Linked DNA regions of Saccharomyces cerevisiae S288C. Changing the gene in region 2 together with the main gene of any one other region gives a genetic interaction. Each region holds a gene or a part of one and is shown on either strand. Other genes may lie near its edges. The genes, in order: KEI1 and DIE2.

Region 1 (9,678 bases), on a different chromosome or scaffold from region 2:
CTGTGTTTAGTTAACAAGGGTAAATTGACATCATTAAATAAAAAATTCATGAAAGTTGGCGAAACATTTACTATTAATGCCTCGGACGTTTTAAAGTCCACAATAATTGAACTGGGTACAACTCCTATTCGTATAGAGTTCGAATGGATAAATGAAGTCTGGAACATTCCTCCTCATTTGACACAATTCAGGACGATGCTTTCTGAATATGGTATCTCCACTGAGATTTCTATTAATGATATTCCCGCTAATCTGATGATTAGCGATTACCCAAAGAGCGAGGACAACAGCATACGGGAATTGTATGCCCTTGTTAGTACTATACCCATGAAAAAATCACGGTTTCTGATGGAATTGTGTAATACTCTTCTTCCCACATCTAAAACTAATTTAAAATTTGATGAAATGTGGAACGATATGATTAGTAATCCGGAGTACAATGTTTTTGATTTTGATCCAAATATTTTGCTTTCGAAGTTTATGAGGCTGAATAATATCAGAGTGTTAACTACTATCAAAAGTGAACCACGTCTATCATCTCTCCTGCGGACGTTCAATATAAATTTATTTGCATTTGACAACATTGATAGTTTATATAAATATGTTGACAGCTTGGAAGCATCAACAGAATACCTGATTTTGACAACTACAGATAAGAAAGAAAATGGGAAAATTCTATGTACTATCAAAACGATGTTAACATCAATAATAGATGGCACCTTAAGCGCAGTGATTAATATGAAGGGTGCATCTTCAAGAACTCTAGATAACGGTAAATTTGATCAAATTTCTGAAGGAATGTCTACTATTTTGAAAACATCTCGTGCACCTGAAGTTGAAGCTAGTCCAGTAGTCTCGAAGAAGCGAAAATTAAATAGACGTAGAGTACTACCACTCGATAGTCTTGATTTTTTTGCTGGAGGTTTGAGTACTAAGACTCTATCAGAAAATAGGTCTTTAACTGACGCTAAGAGACTTAATTGTGGCGCAGAATCAAAGACTGTCATTTCAAGTCCCAACATTGCAGAGGCAGATGAAAAGCACGCCCCATTTCTTCAAAACGCACTAAAGCCGACTGAAGATATTGGAAAGAAAAGTGGTCACAGTAGCCCTGGTGCTATAATTGTCAGTAGCCCCAACTTAGGTACTGTGAACACGAGTGAGGATTCGTTGGATAAGTCGCTACAGTCACATAAGTTACCACAGCCGTCATTGCCGGAGGTAGCAGGGATTGGCTCTCAAACCATATCTTCGAACTCCGCTGACTATGAAACAGCTGCTGTGAATTCGATGGATGATGCTGAAGTTACTAAGAATTTTAGGGTGAATCATCACCAGAATATAGAGCAACCCTCTAAAAACATCCGTAAACTTTCTAATTATTCACGAGAAATTTCATCTCCATTACAAGAAAATTGTAAGTCACCTGTAAAAGAGTTATCTATTAAAGAGAAATCTGGTACGCCGCACGCATTTGTTGAAGCTATTCAAGAAACTAAAAATAGAGAGGTCAAAAGAGTTAAGTCAACCATTGTTGAATTGAAGGATGAGGAGTTGAGCGAGGAAGCTATTAATCAGCTAAAAAATTTGGCTATTGTAGAACCTAGTAACAATTTACTGAGGAAATCATTTGATAGTGAGGGAAACAAAACAAGCAGAACAACTGAAAAATGGGAAAATAGCCTAATGGAGCCAGAATGGCATAAACGCAAGAATTTCAAGACTTTTGTCAAGGTACGTCCAAAATCAAAGGCGCACAAAGAAGAGGGTAAAAATAACACTCAAAGCTCAGATTTTATACGAAATGCAGCCTTTTTAATCACTAGAAATTATGTTCCGTTAAAAAAATACTCCAAAAAGGATACAACTACAAAATGGGGCACAGAAGAAAACGAAGATATGTTTGCTTTGACGGAGATGGAAAGATTTGGATCGAATACATTTATGTCCGATAATATAAACTCAAACACTATCCAGAAAAGATCTCAAGCTCTAAACAGATTCACGAATGAGGATAGTTCAAATGAAGGAGAAGAAGATTCGTTTTCTTTTTCTCGTTGTTCAGGTACTGCAGCCAGCGTTCAACCACTAAAAAACAAAATTTTTATTACTGATGAAGATGATCTGGGTGATATTGATGATAAAAGCGATAGACTAAATCACAGAGAAAATAATCGTAATCTTTTTGTGGTGAAGGAAATGAACTTACGGCCAAACTTGTCAGAAGAATGTTCCAAGCAAAGTAGACACAGTAGAAGCGCAACTAGTAGATCACGTGGCTCTTTTGGGGCTTCTAATAACGGTGATGGCGACGACGACGATGACGACGGTCCGAAGTTTACGTTCAAAAGAAGAAAAGGATAATGATAAATTTTCCGAGTATTTCCAATTTCATTAAATTATATTTTGCATTATCATTCGATATATGTGTATATATTATATGAAAATTAGTAAAATCAATGTTTGTTTCAGCTGTATCGGATCGGTTTAAAGAAGCACTACAGGTTGCTGGAGGCATTAACTGTAATGTAGCGCGCTCATTGGAAAATTGGGAAGGATCCCCACTTCATATCAACGACTCTCTTTGTACCATGCACTTTGGATAGGTTACTAATAGTCTTGAAATCATCCTCAGGCAGAGTGAAAATCTTAAAATTGGATACAATTCTTTCAGGATTAACCGATTTGGCCAGAACAACGTAGCCTCTTTGAATACTCCAACTGATAATAAGCTGTGCTGGCTCAACGCCGTGCTTTTTAGCCATATCAATAATTGCTTGCTCTTTTAGTAAAGGAGCATTAGCACTCCCAAATGGTGAGTAGGCTTCAACAACAATACCCTTTTCCTTACAAAAGGCAATCAATTCGTCTTGTGGTAGCAATGGATGAATTTCAATTTGATTAGTAGCTGGTACCACCTTGTTATTTGGAGATTCTAATAATTCTTTAATGTTGTTAATAGAAAAATTAGAGACACCAACGGCTTTAGTTTTGCCCGTCTTTGGCAACTCTTGCATCAACTCCCACGTCTTGATAAAATTCCATTCCTTAGTATCGATGTCAACAGTGCCATCTTCTAATGTTGGAATGCACAGAACGTTACCATCAGTAACTCTGTCGGTTTTCAAAGGCACTGGCCAATGCATCAGATATAGGTCAACATAATCCAAGCCTAGTCTTTTCAAAGACTTGTTTAGAGCAGCTTCCGGATCACGTTGTTCCGTACCCCAAAGCTTAGTAGTAATAAAAATTTCCTCACGAGGGACTCCGGAATCTTTAATAGCCCTGCCAACTTCTTCTTCATTCAAATAGATAGCCGCAGCATCAATGTGTCTGTATCCAGCTTTCAAAGCTGCAATTACAGAATGGTAACCGTTATTGTCAACGGAACGCCAAGTGCCGAAACCCAACACTGGAATGGAGGCACCAGTATTTAGTTTTAATGTAGCAGAAGAATTCTTTAACGTAGCAGGCATGGTAGATTATTATCTGTGGGTATATTTGCGACCTGATTATATTGCAAAGTTACTTTATTATCACTTTAGAAAAGAAAAGGGTTTCACGGAATTGAATTGCAACCAAATAGGGAATTGCGTGCTATATAGTTTCCTTTTTCCTTTTTTTTCAAAATTACGTAAGAGCTACTTAAATACACACGTGATGAAAAGTGACAATAGCATCAGTGAGAATGATTTTATGATGTCAGAATAGAAACATTTCTTCATCAGTGTAAAACGCTATAACGCTAGGGCTTTATTTTACTATTTACTCTAACAAATTCTTACATAGCTTATAACAACCTTTTTGGCTCTTAGCCCACAGTCTTTTCCAAATAGGCTTGTTTTTCAAGTTTTGTTCTACGTCATCCCTATCAACTAAATATTTGGGGTGGTGTAACAATTCTTGAACAAAAGATGCCAAAATGAAGTTAAAGTAGAACCTGAATATCAATGACACCAACGTAATTAAAATAGTCATGGTATATTCGTAGCTTTCAGTTGCACTTTGTTTACTTATATCAATACCACGTTCTGTCAGCTTACCTGTCGATATTGGGTTACTTTGTAGTGCATTATTTCCATCAATATTAGCAGTGTCTTCCAAGGTGAACCATTGCGTGGTAAACCATAGAGTAAAAAAACAAGTGGAAATGGTATCGATTGTATAAAGTACGCAGATTTGCGAAAATACCAGCAAGTTTGGCTTATGAATCAAATACAGCCCTTGTGAGAATACGATTAATGTAAATACCGACCAAAGATATGCTATCCATTGCATAAAATCCAACGGATGACCCGTGAACAATGCTAAAATACCATAAGCACCACTGCATTTGTTTAGAATGGAAATACCTAAGACAATCTCAACTGCAAGGTATAGCGGCATAAACCCCAAAAAAGACTATGAAAAAAAAATATGTTTGAGAACAGGTTAGTAAAATTGTGCTTTGCTTCGAATCCTTACAAGTTAACAAAAATTTATAGCGTTTGCCGGAAACATACTTTTGGAAGGGTTAGAAGAGATGATCTCATAACTAAGGTTAATGGTTACAATTGGTAGTTCCTCCCTGGTATTATTTCTTTTCTTCGTAGTTTTTGTACAGATCACTTATACAGCTTTACACAGATTTTCCCGCTTGTTGTGCACTTTTTTTTCGAAGATTATTGAAGAGGGATGCGTTTGGTACAATAAAAAACATAGGTTCCCAAACCTATATAAATATATATATGTATATGTATATATACTACATATATGCTTTGAGAAATATGTGAATGTTGAGATAATTGTTGGGATTCCATTGTTGATAAAGGCTATAATATTAGGTATACAGAATATACTAGAAGTTCTCCTCAAGGATTTAGGAATCCATAAAAGGGAATCTGCAATTCTACACAATTCTATAAATATTATTATCATCATTTTATATGTTTATATTCATTGATCCTATTACATTATCAATCCTTGCGTTTCAGCTTCCACTAATTTAGATGACTATTTCTCATCATTTGCGTCATCTTCTAACACCGTATATGATAATATACTAGTAATGTAAATACTAGTTAGTAGATGATAGTTGATTTCTATTCCAACATACCACCCATAATGTAATAGATCTAATGAATCCATTTGTTAGTTAATAGTTTAAATGTTTTTATCGGAAGAGGTTTTGTCATCACATCAGCAATGTTCTTCTTGGTCTCGATGTAGTATACGTATAAATTATTACCTGATACTTCATCTCTAAGTCTCATTGCCTTTGTGCCAAAAAATCTGTTTCTAAATTTCTCTTCATTTGTAGACTTAATTATACTGATCGTTGATCTACTATCAGTAAGTAAGCCTTTAATAATTGGTTTCTTGTTAAGTTCTTGCACAAGGTGACTGAGGTTATTCAATAGCGGTATAGCTTCACTGACTGCGTGTATTTCTGCTTCTGTAGTTGAAGTGCATGTTAACGAAGCCTTTGTCGACTTTCCTCCAATCACTTTTCCGTTGAGTAGGAAAATGTTACCAATTTGTGACTTGTAATATGGTTGGTTACCATATGAAGCATCGCTTATTGCGACTAGTTTATTATCTGGCTTGGTAGGTTTGTTTTTGTGCCATATTAATTGTTTATCTCTAGTGTCCCACATGAATTGTATTAACTCATATGTCATGTCTAAAACTTGCCTAGAGGGGAATAGTATATGTTGAGCAAGTGTGTTGATGTAGTATAGTAAGTCAAATCTAAATTTATATCCAACATATGAAGCTAGACCAATCAACTTTTGCATTTCATGTACCTTCTCTTTGTATTCATCTTCATCTATTTCTAGTTCATCCTGGTCTATATAAAGACCTGGTTGACCTGGAGCGCTAAGTTTTCTTCCTTTTGGATTCAAAGGTACGTTTAATTTGGGTATTTTCTCAGTTAATGAGTTTTCCATACCTAATTTCATGTATTTACCTCTTTGATATTTGATTTCTAAGCCAAGTATGTCATATTGAATTTCCTCATCACTTTCGCCTAGATTTATAATCTTGGTGTCGTATTGCATCTTAAGCTTCTCTATAATTCTTTTGTTTGAATTTAGATTTTTGCTAAACAATACCATATCATCTACGAATAAACAAATTGTCACTTGACTGTTTTTAAATACGCATGACCATCCACGAACTTCTTCCATACCACATTGTTGTATCAGGTATGATTTGATAGTTTCGTACCAGTTCGCTCCACTTTGTTTCAATCCATAAAGTGATTTCTTCAAACGTATCAACTTATCATTCATTCCTAAATGTGGTGGAGGTCTTATGTATAATTCTTCTTTGATGTCTGCATACAAATATGCCGAAGATATGTCTAATTGTGTAATATAGTAGTTATTGTCTAATGCAAGTGACAGGGATGTCATTAATGCATAGTGATGTACGGTATTGGATTGCATGCCTGAGTCGTAAGTGTCAGGATGCTGAATATCACCTCTTGCAACAAATCTAGCTTTATGAGTACCGTCACGTTTCTTGTTGAAGATAAACATTGAGTTTATTACTCTTTTAGGGTCTATTTCTTTTCTGTCATAATATTCGTCAGTGTCCCAAGTTTTCATCTTCAACAGTTGATTGACTTCTTTGTGGTATGCCTCGATATATTTTTCTTTTTCTTTAATATCTTTATTATAGGTGATTGCCTCATCGTATCGTAAGGTTGTCCGTATTGGTTTGATTGATTTTACTGCTTTTACAGCTGCAATCAGGTGAATTCGTTTCTTCGATCTCGGAGGTTCTAAACTACGCATATTCTTAGTATTCCATGTGTCTCGTGATACCTTAATTTCAGTTTCATTATCTTCTAATGATCTTTTCTTACTGTTGATAGTAGTATAGGCATTAGAGTCACCAATACCACCCAAACTGGAATTAGTTTGACGAGAATTTATCGGTGGGAGTTCTTTAAATGGGTCAGGGAATTCGGTAGGAGATTCTGGAGGTAGATCAGGGAGTGGGAGATCAGCGATGATAGATTCCTCGGTATTCTGTTCAGAAACAGTAGTTGGCGTTTTGATAGGAACAATATTGTGCGATGAATTATTTTCCGGTGGAGAAGCATCGATTGAAGGTGAACGGTGTATAATCCTTTTCTCAGTCTCTTGGTCACTTATCTGCGGAACAGTTTTGTTGTTGGTACCACCCGTACTGGATATTGGTACGTTTGTATGATTAGTCTCATTTTCACTGTACGAGTCTGAGTGTCTGAAATCTTTAGATTTACTGGCGTGCGACGACTCATGTGTGTTAGATTGGGACATGGGAGCAAGTAAAGGAACATTTAATTTATGCATACCACCCGAACCGGTACTCTCGATATTGGAAATTTGGGGGGTGCTAGATCTCTTCTTTGATGGAAGAATATTAGATTCAGATATGTTGGGGTCAACTTCTCTGGGTGCGCGAATATTGGTTTTAGAAACACGTTTCGAATCTTCAGTATGAGTTGACGGAGGTGTGGAATCGGTTGGACTCACAGCTTTTGAAAGGACATTTCTCGGTTGCTCAGGATGTAGTTCAATGTCGGATTGGAAGTCATGGTCAGATTCTATGTTAAGATCATTGGATTCTTGGATCTCATTTGACGCAATGAACGAATGATATGAAGCAGTTAAACGGTTTAAGTCTTCATCGAAAGTGAGTGCGTCGTAATTGAATTGATCTAATCTGGATTCCTTGCCCTGAAGAATAACATAGTTAGTTGTATCTACTGTCTTCTTTAAGGATGGAAGATAGATGATATATCCATAAGAGTTTCGAGACGGATGTAGAGCGTAGCCTGGGATGCCACGAGGATGTATTTTGGAGTTAGGGTTGTGATCATTGACGATAACAGGTTGACCGAAAGGTAACAAAGTACTGATATCAAGTCCTGCCAAGCCAGCATGTTGTCTTGCAGATTTTTTGCTTTTAGGTGAAGCTAGTGAATTTCTCACAATAGTAGAAAATTCGATTGCAGAGAACCATAAATAGTTCGGTAAACCACTACATTGCAGTTGAGTACGGCAGTCATCTAATAAGGTACGGTTTAGCCGTTCAGCGACTCCATGTGCTCGGGAATCCGCTGTGGTTGTATAGCATGGAGTTATACCATTTTTTTCAAGGAATTTATGGAGAGTTCTGTTAGTATACTCAGAACCACGGTCCATTTGTATAACCAAGACACTGGCCTGAAACTGGTTCTTAATAAAAGCTAGTATCGTAGTAAAAACATCGAGGATAGAGTCCTCGCGACGGTCGTGTAATGGATAAACCCAACGGAATTTTGTTGTCTCATCAGTAAATGAGATGAAATAGGATGGTGCACTATTTGGTAGGTTGTGAACTGGACCAAATATGTCAGTATGTAGGTATTGAAAGGGTTCGTATGAATTTTGGTATTTTAGTCGTGAACCTTTGATATGTCTGTGTTTGGTGCTTTTGCCGATTAAACAATCAGGACATTGATAGTCAATAGCACTAGACCAGTCGACATCTGATTCGTTAAAATACGTGATGGTGTTATTTTTAAGTGAGTATCGAATTGTCTGTGCATTGGCATGCGCAAGCATTCGATGAATGAAAGGATAAGGATATTTGCGTGTACTTTCACTTGTATGGACATTATTGATGGTGGGTACGGAGATATTTGATGGAAGCAAGTACCTTTTAGATACCCAGTAAAAGTCTCCATATTGTACGATAGGTGCAAGTACAGTGCCGTCAGATCGTTCTAAGACGTTTTTGGTAAAGCATGCTGTGATATCTACTGCAGCCAATTCATTCAAACTGAGTAAGTCATAGGCTATGTTAGGAGTGTGCAATACCTTTATTGATGTTTTGGTGTTGTCCTGGAAGTGAAATTGTAGGTCACCAATAGCGTTAATTGGTATATTTCTTTTTTGAGCATCAACTACGTTTATGTCAGGATTAGATGATGCTGAGTGTATGTGATGAGCAGATCTTATAAGGGTTCGTGATGCTCCTGAATCGAGAAGGAGGTGTCCAGGGAGTTCATCATCAGAATGATTAGTGTGATTTACCGTAGATTCAGTAAGTTCCTGGCCTAAGGTGAAGGTCGTGCTTATTGTTCAATTGAATCGGTTCAGTAGTTGATTTACTGATGGAATCGTTGTCCGTGCTGGGAGAGTTATTAGATGTGGATACATTGTGAGCCCTGGCTGTTTTCGATTTCGAATTATTTGTTTTTTGAGGATTCCGAGCTATAACTTTGGGTTTGGTTGTATTCGTATAGCTGCGAGAATCATTCTTCTCATCACTCAGATTTCTCCTGTAATTAGGTTTGCTGTTTCTCGATCCCTGTTGTTCTTCATAAATAGCATGGATATCTAAGAACAGTTCAGCGACTGTCATATTTAGATGTCGATGACGTGTGTAGCGTAAAAATTTATATTCGCCAGATAGACCTCTCATAATTAATTGGCATGCGACCTTGTTATTGATATGAATGCCATTATTGTTCAGTCTGTCGATAATGTTTGTGACTTTTGTTTCAAATGCATCTGCAGGTGTACTGCCATTATATTGCAAATTTGCCAGGGTCACAATGTCGTTTGCCTCTTGGGTATCAGATTGCATTTTTTCAATACTTTTGGAAAGAATTTTCATGATATCCGTATAATCAACGGATAGGATGTCTTTGACCCA
Region 2 (3,600 bases):
TTGCAACTATAATCAATTCTGTTCACCATATTATTCTTTGCAAATAGGGCTCAGTGGTCCAAGGAAATGAGACCTTGGAAAAGATAACTAAAGTAACGACATTGAAGAGCATGAACCATAAAAATTCCATGAACAGTCTTTTCGTACTGCTTATGGTAATTGGGTTTTCGCCTTCTTTAGCAGGTTTTAAATCCTTTATCAAAGGTTCGCAGCTGCAGGTAATAAATATTCTCCAAAAGAAATAGGGCAATATATAGTAACGAGGTTCGAATAAGGGTGATGGAACGATAGTTACCATGGTGCACGTTATTAAGGCCGTCCACGATACATGTGTCAGTTGTATGGGTAAATGTACAGGTTCTTTGATGGGGAGTGGAGTGATGGGGTGAAAGGTGAGCTGGTTGGGTCTCATCACTTCAAGGTATGCGAAAGTGGAGAAATGATAGATTGGTGTCATAAAAAAGTACTTGATTAGTCTACTTTTGTTGCCTATCAATCTTCTGAAGAGGTAGAACGTGTAGTGTCTATTATCTGCTAACAAAAATGGGTGAACTTTTGTAAAGTATCTTATGATTAGCATAATACCAATAAATTCAAAAAAAGTTTGTACTGGCTTCCGTTTTATTCTTAATTTGTACAACTTCATAAAATTACGAGATATCCATATAGGTAAACTGAAAACGGTGATGAATGTGAAACAATAGAATATTTGTACTATATGCAGGCCTGCTGAGTGGCTGGACTTATCACCTAGTGTTATGGATCTGTTCCAAATCAGATAAATGAAGAACAAAACAAAATTTATCATATAGGGCAGAACAAGGTTGGAGAAATCGTCAATAGCATGAATGAATAATTTCAAATAGTTATTGAACGTATGCGTGTTGAACTGTTTTTGTAAAATGGCTGGGCGTTCAACAGCAAGAATCATTATAAATCCCGTCCAAATGATATTCGTTTGTCTGAAGAGACAGCTTACACCAGCAAAAAAAGCACTCAACCATATACTCTTCACGGGGCCAAACGGTAATGTTAACACGCAGCTGAGTGATTGCAATATCAGAATTGTAGACCACACATCGGTGTAAAATAAGTAATAATAAGTTGTCATCAATGGGAAGCTCATTAATGAAACGGGCCAAAAACCTAAGGCATTAAAAAGGAATATTGGCCTGAGTACTAAAATGGGGAAAACGATAATCCCTCCAAGTAAATTAACTAATCTTAGTATGGTTAGTGTGCTCCACGACTTGAATATGGGCTTTATACAATAATAATTAATTAAACCCAAAATATAGATTCCAGGGGGGGTTGTTATTTTAGGGTCCCATTGAGTCCATTTACCTTTTAAATAGGTCAAAGTTTGGCCAACGTGAAACTTTTCATCTATAAATTCATAAGGTACAATATTTGTAGTCATGTAACGGAAAGTTAAGACAAAATATATTAGAAGAAGAGGATATATTACTACATTACAGAAGATACCGGTAATGACTTCTTGTGTTAAGTTTCTCGCTATACCTGGTGCAATCAACTGAATCGCTGCTTCCTCTTCCAATACATCATTATTGGCTTCACCAGTATTTTTCTTTGCATCCATTATAAGTTCGATGTGACTGGGCTCGGTGTACCTGGGATATTGACCACTTAAACAGCTCTTTGTATTCTGGTTTTTCTCTGTCTCTATATTTTTTTGAGCATCATCTAACGTTGCTGGGTTTCATTTCGTTTTATTATCTTAATTTTCCAGGACCCTTCGCTGTTTCAGGCCGATCGGAATTAAAAACGTCACAAATCAGCCAACTAAATAGGTGCAGTGCGGAAGTGTTAAAATATAATTGTTTAATATGGCACGTCGCCTCATTCAAACTCATATGGTTTCCTTTTTTTTTCCCTATTATTTTTTTATGTATACGTATGTATAGTTTTATATATTCTTACTGTTAGTTTGCTATTTGAAGTATTTGGTTTGTGCGTGCAATGAATATCCTTTTTTTATATTACCTTATTCTTTTGTTATGTGTTGTTTCGATACCCTCCATATATTCTATAATATTAGATCCATAAATCCCACTCTCTTGAATTTCATTAATTATTTCCTCCTTATCGTTCCACAGTTCATAAAATCTTATCGTTTCATCGTTAGTGGCAACGCAAATTGCCATGGAACTTGGAGAGATTACTGCGCTCAGTACACGCAAAGGGTTGGGCGACCTAACTTCGAGTAGTTTTGATAATTTTGGATATGAGTATAGTGTTATTAATACAGGATTCTTGGTATCACCGAATCCAAAAGTAGCAACAATCTGTTTATGTCTCAACGACCATATCAAAGACGTCACCTGTCCCGAGGTGCAAATCTCATCCAACAATGTGCCTGTCGATGTATGCCAAAACTTAATACATCTGTCTTTGCTTCCACCACCCGTAGCCAACAAAGACTTCGACCAAGGACAAAAGGCAATGGCCTTCACAGCCGCTTTATGTGGAAGAACAAACTTTTTAATAGGTTTATCCAAGTCGGAAATATCCCATAAGCTACAAGAATTATCATTGCCGCCGACTGCAAGCAGGTTTGCATGTTCATTCAGAGAAATACCTGTAGAAAATATTTGTTAGTATTTTTCATAATGAAAAAATAAGCGCTATACCAGAAAAGGGTATGTGAAAGCATAAGCTCTTAATAACGTACCACAGACTTGCTGTGCCTGAGCTTGATAAGTGGAATGAAGTTTCAATCCTATTAAATTTTCATCTTCGAGTTTTTGTCTTTTACTCCAGTTTTTTATGGGGAAATGCAAACTCTTTATTTCAAAGAGGCTCACATTGCCATTTTCCTCTCCAACATAAAATTTGCAAATTTCACCTGGTTTGAACCATTCTAGGCAACATATTCCTTTGAAGGATTCAGTTTGGAAAACAAATACTGGTTCCTTTTCGTTTGTGTTGCTGGAATGAAAAAATTCTTTTTGATCATAAAGAAGAATACGGCCAAATTTTGTACCAACAATAAAATAAGTATTGTAAGGACAGAATGAGACGCATGTCACTAAATCCCTCTTTTCACTTAAGTATTGATGGTCCAATATAGATACCGCTCCTTCTTTCTCAGACCAGATGTATACGGAGCAACCCAGTCCCACCAAAACGTTGTTTGTGGTTCTTGACCAAGAAATTAAGTTCGAATAAAAATCATTTCTCAGGCAAGGTGCATCCAATACACGGTATGGAATATGTGACTTTACTCGTTTAGCAGGTCTTTGGATTTGTCTTTGTGGGGAAGCTGATCTTGCGTTAGAATTAGCGATATAATAACGGGCAACATCGGGCGAGAGTGTACTAAAGTCAAAGGTTGATCTTATTTCGGCGCAACTTCCTGGTCCAAAGCAATTTTTGATGGCTTTATTCTTTTCCAGAATTTCAGCACTTGTGGTCTCAAACGTAAAGACACGGTCGGGCAATTGAAAACCAAGAGAATGTGCAATATTCTTTCTATGGTCCTTTTGCTCTTTAGTTAATTTTGAATAATCGTTTCTTGAAGCTCTTGCACTTCCACTTCTGGTAACTTGACTCTCAGAAGAGCTAGAGATACTTGACATG

What was found.
Region 1: mutations in DIE2 (region 2) and KEI1 together harm fitness more than expected from each alone (negative genetic interaction), as found in Saccharomyces cerevisiae (one large-scale study listed by BioGRID).

Annotation. Positions count from the first base shown.
Region 1 is NC_001136.10:1,207,702-1,217,379, reverse strand, and holds KEI1 (Kei1p), read right to left. Parts: upstream 4,533-9,678; coding exon 4,503-4,532; intron 4,402-4,502; coding exon 3,766-4,401; downstream 1-3,765. Other genes in the region: XRS2 (Xrs2p), read left to right, coding at 1-2,364; trifunctional aldehyde reductase/carbonyl reductase (NADPH)/glucose 1-dehydrogenase (NADP(+)) YPR1, read right to left, coding at 2,538-3,476; MOR1 (Mor1p), read left to right, coding at 4,544-4,942; YDR365W-A (gag protein), read right to left, coding at 9,061-9,678. UniProt on the Saccharomyces cerevisiae protein: Regulatory component of the inositol phosphorylceramide (ICP) synthase which catalyzes the addition of a phosphorylinositol group onto ceramide to form inositol phosphorylceramide, an essential step in sphingolipid biosynthesis.
Region 2 is NC_001139.9:945,420-949,019, reverse strand, and holds DIE2 (dolichyl-P-Glc:Glc(2)Man(9)GlcNAc(2)-PP-dolichol alpha-1,2- glucosyltransferase), read right to left. Parts: upstream 1,601-3,600; coding exon 23-1,600; downstream 1-22. Other genes in the region: AMA1 (Ama1p), read right to left, coding at 2,001-2,599, 2,693-3,600.